3 linked regions of the Drosophila melanogaster genome follow. The protein of the gene in region 1 interacts with the protein of each later gene in a pairwise test. Each region holds a gene or a part of one and is shown on either strand. Other genes may lie near its edges. The genes, in order: sa, tbrd-3 and tbrd-1.

What was found.
Region 2: the proteins of sa (region 1) and tbrd-3 interact in a two-hybrid assay, tested with the Drosophila melanogaster proteins (one study listed by BioGRID).
Region 3: the proteins of sa (region 1) and tbrd-1 interact in a two-hybrid assay, tested with the Drosophila melanogaster proteins (one study listed by BioGRID).

Annotation. Positions count from the first base shown.
Region 1 is NT_037436.4:21,404,810-21,408,390, forward strand, and holds sa (spermatocyte arrest), read right to left. Parts: upstream 1,930-3,581; 5' UTR 1,888-1,929; coding exon 1,773-1,887; intron 1,710-1,772; coding exon 1,131-1,709; intron 836-1,130; coding exon 702-835; 3' UTR 616-701; downstream 1-615.
Region 2 is NT_033778.4:23,326,096-23,329,495, reverse strand, and holds tbrd-3 (testis-specifically expressed bromodomain containing protein-3), read left to right. Parts: upstream 1-1,914; 5' UTR 1,915-1,939; coding exon 1,940-2,746; 3' UTR 2,747-2,757; downstream 2,758-3,400. Other genes in the region: CG9861 (uncharacterized protein), read right to left, coding at 2,783-3,034, 3,093-3,400.
Region 3 is NT_033777.3:23,891,097-23,895,333, forward strand, and holds tbrd-1 (testis-specifically expressed bromodomain containing protein-1), read right to left. Parts: upstream 2,465-4,237; 5' UTR 2,255-2,464; intron 2,194-2,254; 5' UTR 2,157-2,193; coding exon 615-2,156; 3' UTR 501-614; downstream 1-500. Other genes in the region: sba (six-banded), read right to left, coding at 3,912-4,237.

The sequences.
Region 1 (3,581 bases):
ACCTATCGGAATGTAAAAATCGGCAGTGGCTCTACTTATTGATTATTGCCACGACTCTTCCCCTGTAATTAGTTTTCCAAGTGATTGTGCTCGTTCCCCGGGATTATTAGCTTGTCATCCAGGGAGGTTCCACCCCATCCAAACATCACCCAGCATCTCTAATTGCATTCAATATTCCCCCCTGAATCTTAACCCTTCCAATCGTCAGATAAAATTTCAAGCAACTAAGGGTAGTGCCCTTTAGCGGAAGATAAGAGGAGGAGGCAAATCCCTTGTAATCCCAGCCAGGCGAAGAAATCACAGTCACAATCCTTTGGCTACGGACGCTTTGGACGCAGTGTCGCCCGCTCGATGGCGAGAAAGTTCGGTCGAAAGTTGTTGAAAAATTGCAAACGTTAATCAAAGTTAAGCGTCGCAGAGCAGACGATGCGATGCCGACGTCAAAGTTAATTAAATTACAAAGTTATTTAATACTTTGGAATCGCAGGCGTTCGCCAGAAGCAGCAGGAGGAGCATCTGCTGCTACAGCAGGCGCAGGACCTCTTGCTCCTTCGAACTCTCGCAGCATCATCGCAACGTGTGGCAGTGTTTAATGAAATGTAATTGAAATAAATTAATTTTTTCACACTTTATTCCGTGGAGTAGCTTGGTCTGGCAATGGAAACATTTCGTGTGCTTTTCACCTCTTACTGAGCTGCAGTTTAATTCGGTTTTTCAATACCTAGTCCCCCTGGACTGCAGGGCTCCTCCATTTCCACGTCTTCCTCTTCGAAATTTCCTGAGGATGGGCGTGAACTGTGCAACTTGGGCTTCTCCAAGTAACGGCAGTCGAGGGCTGTCGGGATCAAAGTTGTTAGGACCATGTGAAAGTGATGGCTGCGCAATGAAATAAGCTTGGTCAGGCAAAAGCGATCAAAAGTATTAAATGTTCCACTTTGGTTACTCAGTGCAGTCTCTAAGTTATTTCACAAAATACGTCCGTTTTAGTCCGCGGGATTTAAGGAAAATCAGTTTTCCAGACTTAAACTCTAGGGCCTGTCTCTGCCCTGTCTTACGTAAAATGTCATATAATGGCTGTGTAAAAGCGTTTTATGCACCAATATTACTGGGTATGTATAGTAATTAAATACCTTTGTGGGTTATCACCTCGATGGGAGCATAGATGTCCGTATCAAAGACCTGATTTCTTGGCATCAGGGCGTCCGAATAAGGAAGTTTCTTGGGTGGACCTAGATCCAAAACGTGGCCACTTCCATCGCGTTGGGTTTCTTCGAACAGCGATATATTGGGGTTGCACCTCAGGTAGTATTGATTTAAGGCGTTTTGGGTGTTCAGCTCATTCTCGGCATGGCGATTCCTCATGGCCACATAGCTGCGATCCGTAACCTTCTCAATGGTCGAACTCTTATAGGTGTGCGCCCCTGGAAATGGTGGCAAATGGTCCGGAATATACGTGGTGGAGGCCAATTCCACGGCCTTTGTGGAGCTCAGCACGGGTTGCGGCACACTGTGGAAGTCCTGGTCTTGTGTCTCCGGTGCATTGCACTCAACCAAGACCAACGAATCCGGTTGACCCTCGTACATGGCCTTTAGCTCGCCCACCTTGATGTTCATCCGGATGAAGGTGCGCTCCAGATCGAAGTAGCTGGGTGCACAGCGACCAGCGTGATTGGACCAATTGGTAGTCTGACGTGCAATCTCACGGAATTCTCGAGGAACACATTGATTAACAATACCATTGACATGGTACGAATTTTCTTCTAGCTACTTACTGCCACGCAAAAGTTCCAGCATCGACTGACGCAGTACGTCGTCGACCACCTCACAGTTCTTGGATGCCAGCAAATTGTCCAGCACTGTTGCCAAGACTTCGTCGTAGGTATTCATTTTTGGGCAAATCACTCGATTCGACTGACTGTTAAAACGAAGTGTCACGGACTGGCCGGGCCTTAAGTTTATCGACGATAACTAATTGACATTTGATTTATTTGCTTTAGGATTGCCAAAGTCATTTTTATTAAACATCTGAAGTGTTTATGTAATATTTTAATTATATTTCAAGGAATCCATGTTCTTTTCTAATTTTCAAATTTCCAAAAATTTGCATATATGTTTCCGTATAACAGTTTATAGCATAACAGCCTAAACTGTTTACACAATCTTTCCAAAAGGCTGAGCACTAAAGACCAGCAGCTAAATACCGATTGGGAACTGTCCGCACCACTCCCCTAAAACTAATATATTTATAATAATATATAAATAAATTATAATATTTTCGCCTTTTGCGATCGCGACCTACTGCAAACGACTCGGCGTATAGAGACTCGTATCTTAAGCATCTCTCCTAATGAGTTATGCAAATATTTACAGCCGTATGAATGAATGAATGGGTTCCAAGAAAACCAAAGTGGGAGCCATTGTTTGTCTGATGACAAATTCTCCAGACTCCGTCATAGACTAGCCAAAACGTGAGCTATAATCAGTCATAAGCCGAACAACAACAACAACAACAACAACAACAACAACAAATGGTGCGAAAAGAGAATGGAGAACGGAAAACTGGGGGGAAATGGAAAAATCCAAGCACGAGGTCACTGTGTCAGAGTGGAAAAACTACTTTAGATGCAGACAGATTCGCGTTTGCGACGCCCAAGAGGCTGCTGCAATTGAACAAATTGTACCTCCTTCCAGAGTCCCTCCCCCATCATATCCCCACCACTTTTCTCCACTTTATATTTTTACGATCCCATCATGATGATGTAGATGATGGGGATTATGTTGGCGGTCGTGCATTGTGGGCGTTCCGTGGCTGACATTTGTACAATGAACTCGCCCGTATTTATCTGGGATCTAATGTTTTTGCCTCCAAGCGCTACCGTTTACGGACCACAGAGAAAAAAAATCTCTGCTCAATTGAAAACTGACAACTTGTTGTTTATAAATAATACAATAAAAGATAATAAAGTTCCAAGTCGTTAACGTTAAGTATTCAAATATATATATAGTTTTCAAATTGCGTTACAAAAACTTTAGATACTCGTTGCTTAGCTAATGGAACTGAAAAATAAAAAAGAAAATGAAAAAATAAATAGAAATAAATATGAATATTTCGCCTGGTGACAGTTTCAAGTGGTTTTTTGACCTAGGAGTGGGCGTGGCAAAAATATTTTCGACATATAATAAAATTAAAAATAAAAACATGTTTCAAAATTGCGGGCGTGACAGTTTTGTGCGGTTAGTGGGCGGTAAACTAGGCGTGGAAATCTTGTTCAAGCTTCCTGTGCGTCAATGTTAGTAGAATCTGCGTGCTTTACTTTCTTAACTTTCAATCTTGTATAGTTCCTAAGATCTCCATGTTTATGCGGACGGACAATCCGACATGGTTTGATTGTCCGGCCTAGTAATTCTGATCAGGTCTACAACATATTAAATACATATTTTGAAACGGATATTTAGTGGTATATAGTCTAGAATACGCTTTTACTCTACGATAAACGTCCTTTGATAGTGTATGATAGCTATGATTTCAAGAAGCGCTTTATGATTAAAATACAATTTTTTTCTCTGTTGCAAAGATTAAA
Region 2 (3,400 bases), on another chromosome or scaffold:
TTTTGTTAATTTGTAGCCAATACTCAGAAAACGGTAAATGAATGGACTCTTATTGCTGCATTAGCTAAATTGAATTCGGGCGGTGCATAAGTAAATGCTATTAAGATACAATCGCGTACATACCTATAGGTATATATTTACACACATATATATCATATGCATGGCAGTATAAATCAACTGCGGCACAGCCATTCCACCGAAATGCGAAATCCGACTGCTGACAAGTGTCACCGGGAGATGCTATGACAAAGTGTCAAAAGAATGTTTGACATCTGACTGGCTGTCGCCGTCTCTTTCGCTCGAATAGCCCCCTCTCCATCGCTGTGCCGTGCGAGGGCAGCGTGTGTAGCCTGTCCAAATGTACATTTCTCATATCTCCTCGGCGTCCTCGTCTGCTGGTTCTTCCCTTCTTTCCATTTCTGCAGGGCTTTCATATTGCCGCCCTTTTTTTTATATTTATCCATATATTGCCCGGTTCCAATGGGATGCGGGATGGCCAGGTAGGGATTCGTTCGCAGGTGCGAGGCAAGTGGGTTTGGGGGAAAGGGATGTGCTTGCCACTGACAGCCTCACACGTTTCCTTTGCGTCCCCCTGGCGATCCTTTTAGCACCTGGCCCAGTCTCTGGGTGTATAATTTCATCTGCCAACTGATTGAGTGTCGCAGTTTTACTTATGTGAAAAACGAACAAGATTTTTATCTGGAAATCGGCAATAGAGAGCGGAATGTTTGCCGTGAAATGCGAAGTAAAGTTCTGCCCCGCTGACATATCGACAAGATCAAAGGGAATCGTGTGCTAAGGGCTCTCAGCTACACATATGCATAAAAATATCACTCATATCAATTTATTCTAGGTCTAGATGCCTCCAAAGCGAATGATCTTGCGAAAAAGTGGATATATGACAGATATAGGGTATAACTTTATCTATATTGTTATTTGGTATTTTTGATTATATATATTTTAAATATACTTTGAAGATTAATCTCTTTTTCTTTCGGTTTCGCAAACTCTATGTGTAAAGTCTCCAAACTTGGGGTTGAAGGTCAACATCCGAACCAGATGATGCCCAGAGGTGAATCCCCATTCGCAAGTGGGTCAGTGGAGTGCAATCCCAATTGACCCATTCGCAGGACCATTCCCCCAAAGGCCCAACAGCAGACTGAAGAGGCGCCCCAAGATGTGGCCAAGACCTGGTCCGATTGCCACCCAATTTGCAACATTTTGTGGCAGGTAAGTTAACAGCGAGAAAATGAAGGTCTCCGTAAATCGGTTGCTCTCAGTTGTGGATCGCAAGCTAACAGAGGGAGAGAGCCACAGGAACAGGATTTCCCCTCATGCCTGTGGAAGCCAACTTAACAGAGTGACTTTAAACAGGATTTCGATTTAACTTTTGTAAACCCAACTTGTTGACTGCCCAAATGAAAGCCCTGCAAATATTTGCCCAAAAATGATGTATATTGTGTGTCCTAACAAAACTTTTATGCTAACGAAATATTTCGGCACTCTAAAATAGCAAACGTCAGCGGTTGACCATAAATATTTTCGCCCCCACAGCTCGATGGGGATTTTAAATACGTTTACCGAAAAAAGGACTGTTTGTACGGGTCTCGGAATTAGATTAACCATCATAGCTTCAGGATTGAGGCAGAGCATTCCCACAAAGGACCGCACTCCCACACAAAATGTATGGAAATACTTTCCTGGCCGGAGCCACTTGCATAATTAACTGAATTTGTTTGTTGCCCCAAACCGCATTTGTGGATTGACTTTTCTGCTCGGATTGAGGTGGCAATCCTAAAAGTTTTCATAAGCTAAAAATATCATCGTACAGGGCAACCCGGAGTGTGAATATTGTCAGTTGTATTGCGTTCAAGTTGTCAAAACGATAGAAATTATAATAGAATTTTCCGATAGTCGATATCGAAGATATTTTTCTGAAATGGCTGCAAAACAAGAAACTGAACGGTCCTCGCCGGAAATTAATGCCTGCAAGGTGATTATTAAAAGGTTGTTTTCCAGTACCTATAAGAATATTGCTTGGGTTTTCTACGAGCCACTGGATCCGCAACTGCTGGGCCTCCACGATTACCATGAGATTGTCCGGGAACCCATGGATCTGTCCACCGTGAGGCATCGTTTGAATACGGGTTGCTATCTCAGTGCCGCGGATTTCGCCAAAGACATAAGGCTGATTTTCTACAACACCTATCTGTACACGAATCCCGATCACCTGTGCTACCACATGGCCAAACAGCTGCAGATCATCTTTGAGGAGATGTACTCCCAGGTGCAGCTCTACATCTGCTCCAGCGGCAGTAAAGTGCGTGCCGAGGAAGAGAGCTCCTCGGATGAATCGGACTCATCATCGCCGGAGGACGAGGTGAACGGCTCGGAGGTGTCCCCCTCCATAATGGGTGCGCCCCCCTCATGTACTCCAACCACCGAATGTACTCCGACCCCCGATTGGACTCCGCCGGCAACTTTGGAAACTTCGGAGCAGCAGGAGCCCTTTACAACCGAGGAGGACCTTGATCTGCACGCCAAGATTCAGCAGCTGGACGGCGAGGTGCTGCTCCACGTCATCCATTTCATTCAACGCATGGAGGGCGCCGAGTACTGCAACAAGGAGCTGGAGTTCGACATCTGCAAACTGAAGGTGCACACCAAACGCGGCATCCGTGATTATTTGGCCAGCAAGGGGTTCACCGGCAAAAGAGTGGCCCGCACCAAGCCCAAATATAATTGAGTTTCAGATTGAAAAAGAGTTTTAATTTATTGTAATCTAGTCCTTTTTGCCCAAAAGCTTCTCCTGCTCCTTTCTCTTGTCGCGCATGGAGCGGTAGTTCCGGAAATCCCCATTCCACGTCTTGTTACGCATGATCTCCAGCGGATTGGAAGCTATGTAAGCGAAAAAGGTCTTCCGAGGAGGTCCTCCGGGCACCAGATAGTTGCCCATGGCGTACCAGGCGGAGCTCACGATGCTTAGGTAGCGGGCATTCAACTGATCGTGATATGTTTGCTTAGCCAGGGCAGCCTGAAAAATATAGTTTTAGTATAGTAAAATATATGTACATATATATATATATATATACCGTATTCTTAATCTGCTTATAGAAGTTAAAGTTCTCCTTGGATCTGGGCAGGCGATCAATGCCCATAAGATCGGGACTGGCGGGACTGCTCTGGAGGATGGTGACCAGCTCGAATATCCTGCTCGACTCGGCTATACTCTCCTCGAGCTCCTTCTGGCTGTAGGTTTTGCCGTACCTCCTCTTGACCCACTCCCGCAGCACTGGCAGCTTGTGGGCGTCTGGCAGACAGGCCAGCACATAGCGGGGCTCCTTCCTGAGTACTCGCATGCCATCCTTTAGCAACTTGTCCATCTGGGCGGCATCGTTCG
Region 3 (4,237 bases), on another chromosome or scaffold:
TGTTATAGGGCTGCCAGATTGCAAGACGACTGGTCACCTTAGCTCTGCGTAGTTGCAATGTCAACCGAGAGGTGGCACCTTGGTGCTTGACTGTTTTATTTTGAATTTAAAAACAATAGAAAATGGTATAGTCGAGTTCCCCGACTATCAGATACCCGTTACTCAGCTAGTGGGAATGCCAAAGGGAACATTTCATCATTTTTCTGGGATATCGATAGATACTGGGGAATAAAATAGTCGTGACCGTTTTGGGCGTATTGTAGCAAAAGGAGGCGCGTGGCTAGTGTTTTTTTTTGCACGAAGAAAAATCTAAGCATTTTTCAAAAGTGTGGGCGTGGCAAAATGAGATCAATACAGACGGACATGGCCAGATCGACTCGGCTATTGATCCTGATCAAAAATGTATAGACAAATGTATATGATCGCAATCGCTTCCTTCTGCCTGTTCCATACTTTTCAACGCATCTAGTAATACAGGTATAATTAAACTATGAGAATGTCGGTAGCTCGTAATTAGAATCATATTTTAGGCTAATAACAATTCTTTATGAATAATAATTATAATAATTTGCATTTTCATTTTTTTTCATTTCCGTGGTAGAATTCTACACACTTTAATCGCTATCATAAGTTTGGTCATCCAGCGGCTCCGTACCAGGTGAAAATTCTTGTACATCCTGGGGCTCCATTTTGTACACTCGCTGTTCTTGCACAAACAGGGACTCCGTTTTAATAATAAATGGCTTTGGAACCCATCCTTTGAAATTCTTATTAGCGTTTTCTTGTTTAATGAGCAGGTTTTGTGAGTCACGAAAATCTTGTTCCCTGCTGGCCACCAGTTGACGCCCCTTTTCCTTGGCCGTGGCAATTAACTCCCTGTACTTGGGCAGCCTTTTCTCAAAGATCTCATTGGTTTTCTTCACCGAAACCTTGACCAATCCATCTTCCGGAAAGCAACGCAATGCGTTCTGGAACATCTTTCGTACAGAGCTCACGAATCCATCAAAGCTCTCAAAGTTATCGGAGTCCAAGCGCTCCTGTAGTATCTTCCAATCGAGTTTCTCTTCGCGATCGTGGTCGTAGTCCGGATTCTGGGAGTACCTTCGCCAGTAGTCAGCCTGATTAAATGCCCATGTAACCTGCTTGCGCTTTCGCTTTACCATCGACTTCAGAAGATGATCTGAGTGGCTTTTTTCAATCATTCGGTCGAGAGACTTGTAGCAGATGATAATGGGTGGATTGGGAGCCGGAGGAGGCGATGAAGCTGGAGATTCAACTGGTGCTGGGGTTGGCCAAGGCAAAGTCATGGGTTCCATTGGAGGGGACGGTAAGGGTGCTGCCAAGGAATCCAAGGGACGATAGGAAATTGGCTCTGAGGGCGGTGGATCCATTGCTTCATTTGTCTCCCAATTATTCTTGAATATCGGATTCATCATTGATGACATTGGATGCATAGATTGCATGGGATTCACCAAGGAATCGGGCATAAAAGATGGGATCAAGCTGGGACCCACGAAATTTCGGAATGAAGGATTAAATGACGACACCCCGCCAGGCATCGGTGGGGGACAGAGCCATGAGGAACTACTCGAGAGCCACTGTCTAGAATAATTGTTAGATGCTCGAGGTGCTGAGAACGAAGTCGAGGCTTGATCCAATGATTCAGTAGCCTTTCTCTTGCGCTTTTCCGACTTCGGCTTTAGTTCCACCTCCGTGCTCAAATCAATGGACTCCATTCGCATGTAAAAGGCCTCCATTAGAAGCTTCCCTGCCTGATAAACCGGTGAGCCCTCCAAATTGTACAACAAGCAGTTATCGAATATCAGCTTGAAATCCTCCAGAGCCTCGCTCGCCTGCCAGTAGTATTTGTTGTGCAGTCGCTTCCTAATTGTACTCAAGTCCATCGGATGCTTGACCACCGCATGGTAGTCGGGCACACCCAGGCTCACAGAATCGACGGGATGGCGAAAGTGATACGAGAAGCGATTGCGCCATAAGCAATTCAGCACGGACTTGAGCTCTTCTAGGATGTTTGTCCTTCGCCCAGGACGATTCGGTGGCGGAATCACCGGCGGTTGCACGATGCCATTCACCGGCTGCAGATACGGCTCATTGCGCGGCGGAGGCTGGTTGCTATTCGACTGCAGTTCATTCATTGCTGGTTTGTAAGGTCACCCAACTCCTAATATTAGCCTAAAGCAGTTTTTTTTTTTTTTGGTATTTAGGAAGAATGTGAACTATTTCAAATGCTTACTTTTTGAACAACTCAAAATTCACAGCTCCTTTCGGCTCGGAATACAGAACTTTACTGAACTTCTTTTCGTCAAACACTAATAATTACCTCTTGACACTAGAGTCTATGGTGATGTGATTTACATTTATTGTATGTAAGTCTCCGTTGGGAGTAGTAGAAAATAAAAAATGACCAGACGGATTTTGTCACTGACTTTTTTGTGCTACGTTGGGTCTGTCAAAATTTGTGACATTCACAGTGAGCTTACATTCGATAGCTAGCAATCGTCTAGTATGAGTGATAATACTCCTTTCTAAGGTGCAACTTCAGGGACCTTGGTAGTTGTTGCCACCGCAGATATGCCAAAAAAAAGTTTCCCATGGTTGCTCGGCTGGATCATCACAGCTCTAGTGGGAATCAAACGAAGTGGTTTTGTGGTGGCACCTTGATAAGTTATCAGGTGGTTTTAACGGCTACTCACTGCTTCTACTCAGATGTGTAAGTACAACCAAAGACACTAGAATAATTCTATTCTATTATTCTAGTGTCTTTGGTACAACTTACCAACTTACAAGTTACGGTTGGATGCAAACGAGGATGTGCCGGAAGGCTATAAGGCGGAGTCCCAGTTGTGTGTTGGATCTCCGGACCATAAGGACACATGCAATGGTGACTCGGGAGGTCCTCTGCTGGTTCGTCACATCGGGATCGGATGCTAGTATCAAGTCATGGGAATAACTTCAGTGGGAATCGCGTGTGGAACTCCGAACATTCCCAGTTTGTATACAAGGGTGTATTTCTTTAGAGATTGGGTCAAGCGGGCCATGAATCAAAGAGTTATCTTGTTTTTTAAATTTTTATTTGCTCCGTGTGTTTCCGCTAAGTGTGATTTCATTTTTGTTTTACAATTATAATTTTACAATAGTTTCAACTAAATAAATAATAACAATTTATAAATATAATTTTTTTCCACCCTTCCTAATTTTCTCATGATTTTTACCTTTTTGTGTTTGACATAAATAATTTGTTCTTCTAGAGTTTAAAAAACAATTTGTGCAATCACAATAAATGAAAATCAGTAGCTGTTTTTGATTTGATATCATTTGCTTGACAAGGCAAATGTAATTGTTGTGGATGTTCTTTAAACTTAGTGGCTAAGTATCAGCTTAGGTTACCTATTTATACAAATAATCGGTAGGTCTATAAATTGCAACGAAAACAAAACCTATAAAAACCAAGGATCTATATGCAATAAATAAATACTTAATACGAAACATCTTGGTAGCTTTTGGTGCTTACTATATACAAAACAACGCAAATTTGCGCCGAGGCGCTGTCTATGAAGCCAAAAACCTATCGCTAATTGTTAGAACTGCTCTTTGTAACTTGATTTTCATTAACATCATCTTGCTGTTTTATTGTCTATTTCGAAAGTGTGGCGCGCGCCGCCCAGCGACGCAACTAAGCGGGGAGTCTGTCAAAGAATACAAAACAACAAACTCCAAAGCTGAGGCCTGACACCTAACACTAAACTCTATACTCGTATCGTCACATATGTATGGATAACTCTATATATATGGCCTGGCGGTATGTATCCTCCTGCTGCCCACTACTTATGCCCGATAACGAGGGTGTAGCTGGCTGTGCTCACTGTCGACGATAACGTCGACAGCGCTGGTCATTTGGCCAGCTTCAGGATCTCGGAACGGGCCGATGTTGTCGCTGTCCCGGTTCCAGTTGAAGCTGCTGCAGCTCCAGCTGCTGCTATCGTCCCAATGTTGCCTGTGCCCGTTGTGGCCACCGGTGGAGCCGGAGCAATGCGTATGGGCTTGGCTCGCTGCTGATTGAAGAGGCCACTCAATGTGGCCGCCGTACTGGTGGTCAGCACCATGCTGGCCCCACTTGTGTTGGCCTGGCGCTTGCTCCGCGCGAGTCCATTTATTTTGTTGTTCGTTGAAGAGGGCGATTGCTGCTGCTGTTGCTGCTGCTGCTGCTGCTGATACT